Linked DNA regions of Styela clava. The protein of the gene in region 2 purifies or fractionates together with the protein of the main gene of each other region. This does not show direct contact. Links are inferred from orthologs where the notes say so. Each region holds a gene or a part of one and is shown on either strand. Other genes may lie near its edges.

What was found.
Region 1: the proteins of multifunctional methyltransferase subunit TRM112-like protein (region 2) and tRNA (carboxymethyluridine(34)-5-O)-methyltransferase alkbh8-like purify together in Homo sapiens (co-immunoprecipitation; 3 studies listed by IntAct, with this or other methods). This does not show direct contact. The link is inferred for Styela clava from reciprocal best matches to the Homo sapiens genes TRMT112 and ALKBH8.

The regions. Positions count from the first base shown.
Region 1 is NC_135256.1:5,600,022-5,608,047, forward strand, and holds the start of tRNA (carboxymethyluridine(34)-5-O)-methyltransferase alkbh8-like, read right to left. Parts: upstream 3,157-8,026; coding exon 2,147-3,156; intron 1,853-2,146; coding exon 1,696-1,852; intron 971-1,695; coding exon 842-970; intron 362-841; coding exon 171-361; intron 1-170. Other genes in the region: tubulin-specific chaperone A-like, read right to left, coding at 4,496-4,810; uncharacterized protein LOC120327843, read left to right, coding at 6,852-6,915, 7,146-7,259, 7,681-7,815.
Region 2 is NC_135251.1:12,669,007-12,677,082, reverse strand, and holds the start of multifunctional methyltransferase subunit TRM112-like protein, read right to left. Parts: upstream 3,063-8,076; 5' UTR 2,784-3,062; intron 1-2,783. Other genes in the region: transmembrane protein 62-like, read left to right, coding at 5,210-5,383, 6,317-6,566, 7,121-7,300, 7,594-7,812. UniProt on the Homo sapiens protein: Acts as an activator of both rRNA/tRNA and protein methyltransferases. Together with methyltransferase BUD23, methylates the N(7) position of a guanine in 18S rRNA.

The DNA.
Region 1 (8,026 bases), on a different chromosome or scaffold from region 2:
GATTGCTTAATAAAATAAAAACTGAAGTTTTATCCCAGTTAAAAGAGAATGAGAGGTTGATTATAGCAACGTGCTTTTTACTCTTTCAAATTTATAACGATGACCGATATATTTTCAAATTTCTGAGGAGGTTAAAATATATTCTTCCTGAAATCAACTTCTAAACAAACCTTTTGTATTCTTGTTCCATGGCCCAAACAGAAATTAAAATTTGTCCTCCGACCCTCACTAGTTGTAAAAGTTGTTCAATCGCTTTCATTCTTCTCTCATGAGTTGAATAATGATGAATAACAGCAATACAAATGCAGGCATCAAAGATTCCATGCCGTAATGAAAGATTCAGACCATCACAAGTGAAAACCTATAATTAGCACAAGGTTGAAGGTCAAATAATCATAGTTAGACATGTGGAGTTTCAAACAGAAGATTTTGAAATGTTTGTGGCAGGCATATTACTGGTTGCATATATGGCCCGGCAGATGGGCGCATCGTGCTAAGCTTAGGAACACGCTTGCCACCGCACCTCTGATTACCCTGTGTGGGTTCGCAGGTTTGAATCCCATGCGGAGATAATTATGTGCAAGAAGATTGCTGGACTCCTCGCAGCCGTAGGGTGATACACGGAACCGCTGGTCGGTTACGGCTGAAAACAAATAATTGTCTAACTGATTCCATACTAGACATGGACTGGTAACTGGACAAGAGGCTGTGGTTCGCTATATGTTATTAACTAGTCCTATTGGCTTTCCGCTCCCAAAGGATAAATATGTAGTTCAGAGCACACGCCTACATCCGTAATTTCTAGTAAGTTTATACAGGAGTCCAAGTACATGAATCTCACCTTGAAACCTTTTTCTTTACAAATATTGATTAAATTTAGACTCCGATCACATCCAATCATGTAAACATCCTGCCTTACACCAAGATAACGACCGCTGCCGCAACCTACGTCTATGATTGTTGAGTGAGCCTGAAACATATATTAATGTGGATAAATTAGCACAGTAGTCAGACAAATCCTACAACTTAGTCAGTCAGTCAGTAGTTTATTTTTCACCAAAAAGCAAAGCAAAAAGCAAACAAAAACTTGGCAAAAAACATGAAAATGGCATTTCATGGTGAAGGGTGACGAACAATGTTGGTTATCACGCAGCGACACCTGTGGGAAAAGTCTAACTTTGATACAAAGCCCCCTCACCCATGGAATAGGTCATTCTGAGCCAAACCACGAAGATTCCTACAAACAAATTATAAATTCAGGGCTATATTTGCAGAAAACATGAAATACAGAAAACATGAAATAACAGTACCCTTATCAAGAGTATGATATCATCAAGTCTTTGAAATATTTTCATAATTGACAGTCTTAATCTAACACAAAAGAACTTGTATATCCAGGCATATAAGCTGACCCTCTAAAAACGACCCTAAAAGGGTGAAATTATAAAAATTCACATATAAGCCGACCCTACAAATTGTACATACGGTCTTATCATGAGAACATAGCATGGTTCGAGTTGTAGCTGTTGGAATTATACTAGCATAATGTCATTTCGTTCAGTGCGATCAGAGTTATGCGGAATAAGCAGACCCCTTAGTTTGGCGACTTAGTTTTTTATTTTAAACTTACTTTGGAAGTATTCTGAATGGTCATTATTCAGTACCAAAATATTTATTAGGTAATGGAACAAATACCTCCAACTCATTAATAAATTGTTTAACTTTGGGCCACGGTTTGTCTCTTGTTGATGTAAAATGTGAAGCTATTTCATTGTAAACTTTATGAACATGTTCTTCCTCTAATGTTGCAGCTTCTACTTCATTTGCTGGTCGATCTACATCTGGATTTTGGCTGGAAAAACAAACGGATTGATTATGTTTTATTAAATTAAAATATTTTTGAAAAGTATAGTCAAGTATAGTTGCATCAATTCCTTAACATTATTTTCGAGTGCACGAAAGTATTTTATTTGGCTTTTATAACTCCACCTCCTATTTGTACATAGAAACAATTACACTTGAATGCCATGAGCGAACTGTCAGTTATGGTTCACATTATTGCTTTACCAAATCTGAAATGGATAATGGTAGATTTAGACACTAAATTGTAAATCTACCGGACGTGCTAACATCATAATTTTCATACCTGGGACCCCTGTAATCCTCCCTAGCTCTTCTAAATGTTACAGACATCCTCATTCCACGATTTACAGAAGTTAATTTATCGGCATCATCTTTGTTCACAGGAATAAGATCAACTTTTCGAGGACAAATCCCATGAGTCCATTTGTATCTCGATTCTCCAGTAAAAATCATTAAAGATCGTTCCTTAAGCAAAACTTGGTTATGTTCCTTTGTTTTTGAGTTTTTAAAATCCATCACTGTCTGTGAATTTAAGCTTAATGAAGCAAGCGTGTCATCAAATGCTTCAGGATTATCAATGTGTGATGGAATACCCTGTCCTGGCTCGTATTTATTTATTGTAATTTGATTCGGTTCTTTGACAATATGCCCAGTTTCTTTCATTTTTGAAATTACAGATTTTAAAATTTTTGGTATGCCTTTTTCTAAAGGTGATTTAGGGTCGACGTCATTGTGTTTATATCGAAACTCGTACCCATAATGCCAAACTTTTCTATGTTTTAAAATGTTATCAGAGCAATCGAATCCGTTTGAGACCGGGCTGTCAGCTTCGAGAAATTTTAAAAGTTCTATTTGTTCCGTTTCTGTGATAAAATCTTCAAGTATAATCAGTCCCGGAACATTATCCCATCCAGGTGATTGAAAATCACCAGATTTTTGTAGATTCAAATCGTTGACATAATGCAAATATAATATCGGATTAGGAGAAGCGAGATTCAGAGTTGATTTCAATACATGTCCTTGTAATTTCTCAAATGTGGCTTGTGAATTTTTCGTGTTCTCGAAGGAAACCATCGCATAGGATTTTTGAGGTAGCATGATTAGTTCCTTAAAAGAAGTTATTATTTCTTCCAAATTGCTTCTTTGAACTCCATTAGCAAGACCCCCGTTTGATATAACAATATACAGGGTTGGGAAATCAGAAAATGTTAATCCTTCTTTGTTTAGTTTAGTTCTAGCTTTCACCAACTTCTTTCGAAATCTGGTCGAATACTTTGCAGAATTTTCTATCATTTTATTGCTAGAATACTGAAACAAAATTTTACAAAACTAAATTGAATAGTAAAATATGCATGCAAGATAAATAAAGACCCAGTGAACAATCAAACAATTATAATGTATAAGAATAGCCAAGGTATGGGTCAACTATAAATCATGTCCAACACTTGAAATGAAATCTGAAACAGGCGGCATTTCATCAATATGCTTACTTAAAGAAATATCAAGTATGGTATGGAACAGTTTAATCATGGTTCATAATGAAATTAATATTCACAGCTGAAATTATACTAAACAAGCATACACCGATACTCATTGATACACCTAAAACAAAAAAAAGTCTGTAAGGAGACTAAAATGAAGATTGAAAACTGCTTTCAAAAGTATTATATTATACGAGACTTAAACCAGTTCGAGTCTTACAGATCTTGGTGTGTACCAGAACAAGGAAACAAAAAATACATGTTAAGCAGTGATGATATCATGAGTTTGCTGACATTGATATAATTGATGCAACATCTTAAATGATACGATATTCATGCAACCAAGAGCTATTAAGTGGTTGATTGAAGTAACCTGCATATTTCCCTATGAATAGCAGTTCTAAAATTTTGTAATGTGTCTAAAAAAATCACACTTAAAAATTTTGTTTATGAGGTGGATTTAACATCGGTAATTGAATTTGTACAATTCTGCTGAGGAGAACGTACTGTGCTAACAAATGATGTAATCTTCCTATTCAATTTGTATTTGTCAATGGTGAAGTATGTAAACACAGTATTGGAACAACTGGTCTAACTATAATTTAGATGTGAAATATGATGTTCATGAATGAAACATCAGATGAGATATCATAAATTAGTTTATAAGTCAAAATCATTCAGGAATGAGATATAACTAAGATGTCCTGGGAATATGTATAGACTGCCATTTGAAGAAAAATCTGCCAAAATCAAAAATTTAATTTTTGTTTAAATTCAAAGATACCCAGAAAAAGGATTCTGCATTTCAATCAACATAGATTCAAATATTCGGAGTTGTGCTTTTTAACAACGATAAAATTTTGAAATATCATCTTAAAATGGACATAATAAAAATGATTTCTCAGCAAAAATAAAGTCTGCAAAAAGCAGTAATTTGTAAATTCTTACAAAGCAGCTTTTCAGGATAAATTCAAATTTCGTCAAGTCAATTTTATTTAAATATTTCCAGTACTGGCATTTATTATAAATTTCGAAGAATTGTGATTTTCTACATAAACTACATTGGTATATATACTCATTTCAAATCATGTTCAAACCACATTTTCAATGTATAACACTAATACAGTATTCATATTTTGCAGTTACAAAGCTTATTTCACTTCATTTAGTTGATTCACAGCATTTTGATATTCTTCAGTTTCTTCCAGATCTTTTTCAGTTTCAACAAGACCGCTTAATACTTCTATTGCTTGTTCAAGTCTTTTTTGACAATCTGGACCCATTTGTTTAGATTCCGCCAAGACCTCCTTTTGCTTTTTTATAACATATTCATCTCCACCAGCATCTTCCATCTTACTGATCTTTTCTGCAATACCCACAGCTTCTTCTTCATACATCACCTTCTCTTTAGCAATTCTTTTCACAACTCCAGTTTGAATTTTTAGTTTTCGTTGTCTTTCAGCCATTTTGTTAGATAGTTGATTTATTTCAATATCACCTGAATTGGACCAGTAACAATATTTGGGTCTAGTATAGTTTGGTACGACAAGTACTTCCAGTGGACGTAGCATAACGAATTATGCATATGTTATTCCTAACCCCCACCTGACTATGCCATCCAAAAATTATGTTACTACGACGTCACCATCACGTATTAGGGCTTGCCAAAGTATAATTACAAATAATGGCATCTGTGCCGCCAATAACGAACTCGCTAATGCTGACGATCTCTCTCCTATCGTGATCGTTGTGACAAGAAATGAGAGAAATAGCTTGCTCGATTTCGGGTGATCGTCTGCGCGTTTTGGATGACCATCCACATACTTTGGCCTTATTACGCCACTGTGACGAAATGACATAATTTTTCGGTGACGTAATCAGGTAGGGGTTAGGATTGACATATGCAAAAATTGTCAGGCCAGACCAACTAGAAGTGCATGTGGTACTAAACTATACCAGACCCCAATATCTATTTAAATAAGTGAATAAGTTAGAAGTGTAAAGAAATGCCTGTTGTGTTGGATTAACTTTGACCATAATTATATCACTCATTATATCAAAAAGTGATATTCAAATTAATTGATGTGTTATCACTCACATTCAATGAGAATTATGAATTAGTGATGTTTATTAAATTAGAAAATGAAAAAGCTAAACATTATGAACATTGTCAAAAAGAAGTTAGTCTCAATTTGGCCAGCAAACTGTGAAATTCCGCTTTTAAAACTGCTCTATCCATCTATACCAGTGGTTCCCAAAGTGGGGTGCGCGAAGCACTTTCGGATGGTCCGCGAAAGAAATCTGTTATATGGCTCATAGCTTGATAACACAAAAATTGAGTGCTTAAATTTGCAAATAAGCATTTGCCCCTTTTTGTTGGAGACACTGATTCTTCACTTACTGTTTCGATCACGCTGCCCCATTGTGATGTCACAGATCTGTGGGTGTGATATCACTGAGAGTTCAATTGTTGCCAATACAAGTTACCGTAACTGCAGAGGTGTAGCTGATGCTGCCTTTTTGCATGTTCATCGGTATAGGAGGGAGTTACAGCAGACACTAGGCAGTTTATGCCAGTTCGCTTTTAAATGCTGAACATTTTACAACAAAACAAGTGCATTCATCTCGTTAAACTTCGTCATATACGGTACCGGTACTTTTGTTCGTTTTAATGTTTATCACTACACGACGCATTGATTTTTTGTTGTGATATTTTAATAATGTTTTTTTTATTTTAGTGCACAAGGCCGGGAATCATCCAAAAAATTGCAAGGGGTCAGTCATGGAACTTTTTTCAAAAAGTTTGGGAACCACTGATCTATACTGTAATATACGGTACCCTACTGATACTACAAGTTTCCTCGAAAAACATACAGGTACACAAAACAATAAACACACAAATAATTGGTTAGCCTTCTAGTCGGATTTCCTCTTCCGCGAGATACGGTACCGGGTACCGTATGATAAATACCGGAATATATATAACTTATATGTATATGTAAATCCTATCACAGTATCATCGGGAAAACTGGCCTGGAAAAAGAATCCTCGAATAAAGTTACTACGTAGCCTATACCAACCAATTAAGACAAAAACCAAAATTTGTATATAATTTATGAAGAAATAGAAAGAATCGAACAGACTTAGTAAAGCTCAACGTCGCCTATCTCACCTTTGGCAGCTCAAAGAAATGAAACGAAAACGGCTACGAAATGCCAGATTCCCCAACTGATTACCATGTGTAGTAATTCAAGCGTATCAGATTGGCGGTAGCTGTTTTCGTCTTTGAGGATAACTGCGATATGACCGCACGATCAACCTATTTTATTTATTACTAACTAATATAAACATAACACGAATATTAATTAAATATTTAAATTTTTACGATCACTTTGCCTAGTAAATCATAGTGTTGTTGGGGTTTCGTGCATTACGTTTCCCCTGACAACGTTTGTCGCCTACCGTTCGCGCGAGTGCTGTCTGACGCTACTCTTTTCCATTCAGTCTATGTTTGCGATGACTTCTGAGGACGTCAAAGATGAAGAAAAGAATGATAATACACCTACTGGAGGTTTAATGTTTTTATTTATACATACCACAGATTTGTACAATTTCTTTATCATCTTTATAAATGAATCCAAATATAATTTATCTTATGTCTGCCCCATTACCGCAGTTAACGTTATGCCTTTGTGTCTGAAATAGAGGAATGATGTTATCATTCGAAAACAAGAGAGTCTACCCACCTTCACAAGGTAAAAGCTTGCATAATAATTTTATCTTTTATTATTACATTAACAGGTAGAAACGGAAATTCGGATATGGAAGTTCAAAAAAAAGTTATGTTGGGAATATTATTTGCTGTGATATTCTTCGTCATCGTTTTTTCCATCGTAGTTGGATTGTCATTACAAGGTATCTCTATGATTACACTGTTTGCTCAATTTTTTCTGTCATTTACTGAAATAGGGCACCCACCATACAAGGCAATCTTCAGTCATTGCAACCTACAGGAATAATGTATAATTTTATCTCATTTATTTTTTTGCATAACCCCGTTCAATTTACTCCCTTTTACTTGAGGATAATTGTTGACTTAATGAAAACCAAATCTGTGGCCTCGTAATAAGGATTTAGAATTGTATCTCTTACGCATGGGCAGGCTACTTTACATACTTTATCTCATTTTCTCTCAGCTATGGCTTCATACCATGCCCCCAGATAATAACTTATATATCACTTCATATTTTTAAATAGTTTCATTGTTATTTTCATTCAATTTTATTTCACTATCATTTTTATGTAACATGTTTCATTTAATCTTTCTTTGTTTCAGTGAAATCATCTAGGTATGTGGAACATCAAAAACAATTATGCGATCGAATAAAAGATTATACAAGAACTAAAATATTAGAAGGAACTGGTTTGAATAAAACTCCCGAAGTTGTTGATATCAACAGATGTATAAAAGGTATGATCCACTGTTCATAGAATTACTTGGATAAAACATGTGATTGACTCCATCATTTTACTTATTTCATGGGATTATGTACATCTTATTTCCAAACAAGTCCCAGTGCAAGCAACCACTGTCCAGACTACAATCTTATTCTGTCTATAGCTCACCCTATTCATTGAGGGTGGTGGTCGTGGGGCAGAGGTTGAAATAGTTAGGATAGGAT
Region 2 (8,076 bases):
GCCCAAGCAAAGCGGTACAGATTATGTGGTATTGTACATACGAATAGTAAAATGGCATTCGAATATTTTAATATTGTATTCGCTATTCGAATATTTTGCACAGCCCTAGACCGGCCATGCTTAAAAACTCATTTCGCAAAGATAGGTAGTGGAAAATGATAGCAAGATTGGAAGCGGTTGTGAACCGCGCTTTGTGAAATTTATATAAATCCATCGGACGGTTAAATATCAGTTATGACGTCATAATACTGCAAAAAAGCAATTTTCTGCGGAACACCCGGAGGTCTCTCGCGGAACACCGGTGTTCCGCGGAACACCGGTTGAAAATCAATGATCTATAGCAGTGGCCGGCAACCTTTTTTCAGTAACGGACCGGTAAAGCCTGACCAAAATTTTGGCGGACCATCTTTATACAAACGAACTAATCTAATGTAATAAATAATATGCGTTAGAAAATGTATGTTGACAATACATTCAAAAACGAAGGTGATACTATTCACGTAACGTATTTCTCACGTTAAACCCACTTCGATCTTTCGTTTTTGTAATTGCCATTTTAAAAACCCAACCTCACGTGAAGATAACAATGGCATTGTACGTTTTCATGTCACCTTTCTGCGGACCGGTAGTGACCTTTCCGCAGACCGGCGATGGGCCGCGGCCCGGTGGTTGCCGACTACTGATCTATAGTATATGAAGGAATTTGCATACAATAAACAATGGAATAACTGTTATCTACAACATGACTATATTACCATGCATTTCATGTTTGCAGATTACTGCGATATATTTTTATATACCATGAGTTACGTTATCAGAATTAGATTAATACGGCAAGCATTTAAAATAGTGCTATCGGTCATAGATTTGAACATTTTGCGCAACACAAAATCATCCTAGTAAAAGTCCATACTTTTAAATACCAACCATTATCCAAATTATTTGCCAAAAAGCGGGATAAAGTATAAATTATATTTCTGACTTGCGACAATTTTTTCGTGAGTACATAAATACGAATGGATTTTTTTATATTCGGGCACTTCAATGTCCGCATATATATCTTTTATTATTTTATAAATACGAAAATATGTATCAAGAATTAATTATAGTCAGGCAGTTTACCACACATTTTAAGTCCATGGATCGCCGTTGTATTTTGTAAATACGAAAATAGGAATCAAAAATTAATAATAATTGCCGTGATTAATAATAGATTGCCGTGATATTGTGCCCGAATATAATTTATTTTTGATTCCGTATTTCATTCCTTGAACTTAATATCTGTTTTTATAAATTTTGCAAGCAGTTCACGCACGAAGACTTTGAATAATTATGTATTAGTCAAATCGAAGTCCTGTTAGACCACTGGTTCTCAACCAATGGGCAATGGGCCACTGGTAAGCCTCAGAGGCATTTTGAGGTGGGCCACAAACATATTATAAATTACAAGGTTTGTTGATCTAGAACAGCTAGATATGAAAATATATATATATTAATTTGTTTGCACATTACATCAAAATTAAAAAGAATATAACGAGAATGTCATGGCCTTCAATTCGCCAGGCTCGAACTGAGCATAACATATAAAAAAATTAACAAAAAACGAATCCACGAGGACATTGTCTCATAAATACGAACAGAACAAACATTAAATTACCCAATTCCTAATATATTAAATTTTCAAGTATTCCTCACTATCCATCGGAAGAAATTTCATCCACTCCTTCCTTTTAGTGTTCATCTTTTTAGTGACTTCAACCACCTCATTATTCGCCGGAAGAAATTTCATTCACTTCTTCCTTTTACTGTTCATCTTTTTAGTGACTTCAACCACCTCATTATTCGTCGGAAGAAACTTTATTCACTTCTTCCTTTTAGTGTACAGTTTTTAGTGACTTCAACCACCTCATTATTCGTCGGAAATTTTTTTATCCACTTCTCCCTTTTAGTGTTCAGCTTTTTAGTGACTTCAACCACCTCATTATTCGTCGAAAGAAATTTCATCCACTTCTTCCTTTTAGTGTTCAGCTTTTTAGTGACTTCAACCACCTCATTATTCGTCGGAAGAAATTTCATCCACTTCTTCCTTTTAGTGTTCAGCTTTTTAGTGACTTCAACCACCTCATTATTCGTCGGAAGAAATTTCATCCACTTCTTCCTTTTAGTGTTCAGCTTTTTAGTGACTTCAACCACCTCATTATTCGTCGGAAGAAATTTCATCCACTTCTTCCTTTTAGTGTTCAGCTTATTAGTGACTTCAACCACCTCATTATTCGTCGGAAGAAATTTCATCCACTTCTTCTTTTTAGTGTTCAGCTTTTTAGTGACTTCAACCACCTCATTATTCGTCGGAAGAAATTTCATCCACTTCTTCCTTTTAGTGTTCAGCTTTTTAGTGACTTCAACCACTTCATTATTCGTCGGAAGAAATTTCATCCACTTCTTCTTTTTAGTGTTCAGCTTTTTAGTGACTTCAACCACCTCATTATTCGTCGGAAGAAATTTCATCCACTTCTTCCTTTTAGTGTTCAGCTTTTTAGTGACTTCAACCACCTCATTATTCGTCGGAAGAAATTTCATCCACTTCTTCCTTTTAGTGTTCAGCTTTTTAGTGACTTCAGCCACCTAACTACCCGTCGGAAGAAATTTCATCCACTTCTTCCTTTTAGTGTTCAGCCTTTTAGTGTTTTTTAATTTTTCACCTTTGGGAACACTTCAACTTCCGTTTTCCCTCCACTTCATCCGTTTCTTCCTTCAGCCTTTTAGTGTTGTCCCTGAATTGGCCGTCTGATACCAGACTGTACCGGTACTGCTCACCGGCAAAAATCTCTTTTTCACTATACACACAGTTAGTTGTTTCCTACTGTCCCAGTTACAGTACGGTACCGGTATAATGCTTTTGTCGCTAACAACAAAACTAGCCAAAAATACCGAGGAATTGACGCAGTATCGCTGTACAAAACATCAACAAACGCACGTGCAAGAATAGCCAAATAATAATTTTTTTTGAGCTCTTTGGGGTTATCAATTTCCGGGTTTGCTTCTGGGTTTACGAGAGGCAGATGTCCGACGTCCAACATAAAAAACTTACATGTCGCACATCTGTGTCTTAGGCCAGTAAGGTCTTGAACATGTATCCCGTCTCTTTTATACCGTTTAACTATTATGCAGATACTGTTACATTTTTGGGGTAAATATACATACATGCATCCAATTACTCTTTGAGGAAATATAACAACTACTCAAAACAATTACTTTTTATATATGATGTGGCAAAATTTTCAACTTGAACGTTGATGGACATATTTTTTAAACGGCATATAACTTTATTGAGATTTTCTTATCCGGTACTTAGAGATAAAACTGTGATTGATACAATGGGACCTCTTGAAGTATACGCACCAAGATGGCGCACAGCCTGAACTCAGGTTATGTACCAGGTTAGAGTTCAGGTTATGCGACATCTTGGTGCTCATATTTCAGGAGTAGGCTACCATACAATGACCTAACCTCGAAAATAACAGTAAGAATCTAAGCCCATACATTTCAATAATAATTTCAAAAATGGAAGTCAAAAATCAAATGGAGCTTATGTCTTGCGCACAATACAAAGCGTAATAATATTTCGTTGGTGTTGATGCATTTATGTTGAGACTTGGATTTCGCTTTTCCATTTGGTATAGATAACCAGAGCTTTTTCCGTGTTTGTACGCTCATGGAATGATTCCCGTTGCACGAGGACCAGCCAATTTCCAGATATTTTGCGAGACACTTAATAATGACACAGCCTAATAATAATTGATAATCAATAATTAAAAATTGTCAAGCCAAGCATGCAAATACAATAGAAGACACTGGAATTGGTCAATATTGTCTTGAATTTTTTCATCATGTCTCATTTGTAAATATTTTGGTTTTATTTTCGGAATGCTCGAATGAATTCTTTAGCCTTATGGATAATATTATTATGAGCAAAAAATTTAATATTGGTCAAGTTTTGTGAAATCAATGGTCGAATAGCCAGAATAATGCACTAACGCACAACTGTTATATTATATTACTGATTTAATGAATTGCGGAATTTCACATACAAATTACTCTATACATATCGTACTGTATTGTAAAGTATGGTACAGTAATAAAATGTACAAATAATGCAAAAAGTACGATGTAAACGAGGAAAACCAATGAGCCAGCCCAAAGCACTGATTTTCTTGATCACAATTATCCAGTTTAAGGGCTTAGATATTACAGTACAGAATTCTATTACATATTTTTTGGAAGTGCGTTCGTAACCTCGAAACAGCGTAAGTCGCGACCGTCGTAACCCGAGGACTCCATGTACTGTTGATTTAATAATGATATATAGCAATTAGTTTCCTGATTGGGCCAGCTACAGATAAAAAAAACTTCGTTACTGGGTCGGAGGCTCAATATGAAACTATGAGTAAAAAGCGGTTTATTTACAAATAACTAGCGTAACAACTAATGTAAAGCAAACAGCTAGAGACCAAGTGTCACAGTGATTAATGGGACTGACGACTCAACGCGTCCAATAATTCTTTAGATCGCTTGTGGGTTTAATCTGCTTTTGATTTTGTCAATCTTCATACTTCGGAATACTGATTTGGATGGGTGAGTATGAAGTATACGTGGCTCGTTTTACACATTAAATTTAGAGCGTGGGGAATTACGATATTTATTTAGCTGGCGATTCGTTTTGGTTGCCCACGACTTCCCTTCCCCAGTGAAAATGTGTGTTGGATTTCATTTATTTTTCAATTTCGTATGTTTTAATGGATGGAAAAAACAAAATTGACTATGACTTTTACTCGATATTTTAAACAGAAATTTTACATCCATAAAAATTATAGTCGTAATTTTAGCAGGCACAAGTGGCCCGGGTGAAACATATGGTGGGCTGGATCTGACCCGCGGGCAGTAATTTGCCCACTCCTGTGATTGAGTAGTCTACGGCCATGCTTTGGCGACGTTGAATCGTATTTCATTTTCAAATAATCACATTTAATAGCTGTGTTAGGCATAAACTACTACATATATGCATTTGTCTAATTAATAACTGGTGACTGAACAAAACGTTATTCTCATTATACACGAAATTTTATCGAATCCAATCGATCGCCCAATTTCCTTCAAAACAAAATCGAGACCGAGGCTATAACGTGAATTATATTTCTTCGAGTAGATTATGGGAAGGACAAGATTGCTTTCAGTCTGTCATGTATCTCTGATTTCTTCATTATGTATTATTGTTTCAATCTATGCATTTTATAAACCGGAACCTCGGTATTTTCACGAGATGAAATCAAACAATGGACCATATCCGAGTGACAGCAATGATAATTTGTTTTGGTTTGTTCAGGTGAGTTCTAGGATAGGATAGGATAAGATTCCTGGACAAGAGGAAAACCGATAAGACGGCTTAATCATATGGTGAACCACGGCTTCTCGTCCGGTTACCAGTCCAGGTATTTTATCTTCAGAAGCATGGTCTTGTCTTAATGGTAGAGGAAGCCTTAACCGACCAGCGGTGACGTGAACCACCCTACGGCAGTGAGGAGTCCAACAATCTTCTCGCACATAATGCGCAACACCTACACGCGCGCATTGAGAAATCGTAAAAACAAAGCTGTGTTACATCAGATGGGCCAGGGGTTGTAAACTACCGGTAGTTCTATACGGAGAATATTTTCCCCGCAATGCTCAATTATACGGCGAACCACGACCTCTGGTTATCAGGTTACAGGGAGGAATTTTTTTTTATCAAAATGAACGTTTTATATATTTATATGTATAGACGCGAATAGAATTGTATGTACCATGGTTAAGAGCAGTGATAGTCAATATCATATCAGTTTTGTCTGTTATATATACTATGTTAGGGTTGCCATACCGTCCGGAAAATTCCGGACATGTCCGGAATTTAGGGTCAAATTTTGCCTCCGGGAAGAATTTAAAAAATGCTCAAATGTCCGGAATCCGGAATTTTACTGCATCTGCAATTCTACTGTGCACACTGCTAATGCGGAACATTGTTATTTCGTACCGTGCGCATATTTTTTTACTACGAAGTCATGAAAATAGTCATGCACTGTCCGGAATTTTGCTTTTTCAAATATGGTGACCCAATTCTATATGTCATCTTTGTTGATACACCCTTGATTATATTTATGTATTTCATTACGCTGCAAATGTATATTTTAATTATTTCGCTAAAAAGTAAGGACGGTATAGCTGCGCTTCAATTTTATGCATCGATATAATATATAGATTTCTCTATTTTTTTATCAATTAGGTATCAGATATTCACACCAGTAAATTTTGGAAATCGGACCAAGTTGAAGCTTTTGATGATTTTTGCAATTCTACTCTTTCTACAATAAATCCGGAATTAGTGCTTGTTACTGGAGATCTTACCGATGCAAAAGAAGAAAACAAGATTGATTCTCGACAATTTGAAGAAGAATGGAAAATATATCACTCTATTATCACGAAAAATAATGTCACAGAAAAATATGTGTGGCTTGATATCCGAGGAAACCATGGTAAATCTTGAAAATTGAACGTTTTTATGTTGAAGTGCAGTACGATAACGAATAAAATTTGGACACCCCAGTCATGTGCTTGAAACTAAAAATGGGTACTCCCGAAGTATGTGAACCAAGATGGCGGACTTCGAGAAACGTAGTATGTGAACGAGGTTGGGATTAGACCATAATTTCAGGTACAAACAATACTGGAGTCACTTGGCTAATACGAGAGTCATTCGGCTAGTCCCTGAACTCGTAATAGAACTAAAATTGGTTAAAACTACATGGCCTAACCCTAAACTGATACACATACTACGTTCCGGTGTCCACCATCTTGGTTCACATACTTTGGGGGTACAGAAAAAGGCACATTTGTACTCTCATTACTTTCTACGCTATATGTAATTGATTGGTTAACTAATCTAACCTATCCTATTCTACAGTCATGTAAAATTATGTCATTTCAATATTGTATATAATATTAGAAATCCAACAGATTTGTAAATGAATAACATCTTACTATTATCATTTGCTCTCCCTGACACAAATTCTTTTCCTTTCTTGCACAGATGCGTTCGACGTCGCTCGCGCAAATGATCCGAATTCTAATTACTATTTAAAATATTCTGGTGACAAAGGAAAGTTGTCGTCTGCTGTTTATCAGGTTGAGAAACAGTACGGAAAATACTCTTTTATTCCTGTTGATGCGACCATGATACCAGGCCCAAGGAGACCATACAATTTTATGGGTGAGAATATTACAAATTGTAGATTGTATATATACCTAAGTCAAAACATAGCCTACTACTCTACTGCGTGGTAGCTTGCTTACTTCGCCTGCTCTGATCGAAATTTTGCAGGACTGAGCACGCGATGAAAGCTCTAGGTAGATAAAGTCTTCTGAACGTGGCGGATTTAAACGCGTAGCAATGCCACCCAAGCGATAAACTTAATGAGAACATGGAGGTTGTTTTAACGTGATTCGTATAGCTGGGAAAGAGCTAAACTTCTCATTTTATCGGTTATTAACGTTCTACTTCAGGGTATCTTTCAGAGAGAAGCATGGAGAAACTTGAAAATTTCGAGCACGAAACGGCCAGCGATAATTTCACTATTTGGTACGGTCATTATCCAACTTCCACCATAACAAATTTTCCTCCCAGACTCACACGTTTGGTTGGAAAGAGGGGTGGCGTATACTTAGCTGGACATCTTCATAAATACTGCGGAAGGTCGGAAATATATGCCGTCAATCCTCATGGTATTTGTTTCTTCGTACTCGTGACAATATTTGATGTATTTTTGTAGATTGCATCAGATTTAATAAAGTTTTTCGTACGTAGTTTGGGTAAAAACTCGATTTTATGATAGGCCTACAGTAAATGTTGAGTGAGCTGACTGTGAAGTGAATAAATAAATTTGGTTTTAATTTGCAGTTCACAATGACGTACAATTATTAATTTTGTGAAAGAGATTTAATCGTGAATATAAATTTTAAAAAAATGTGACAGAAAAGTTTTTATTC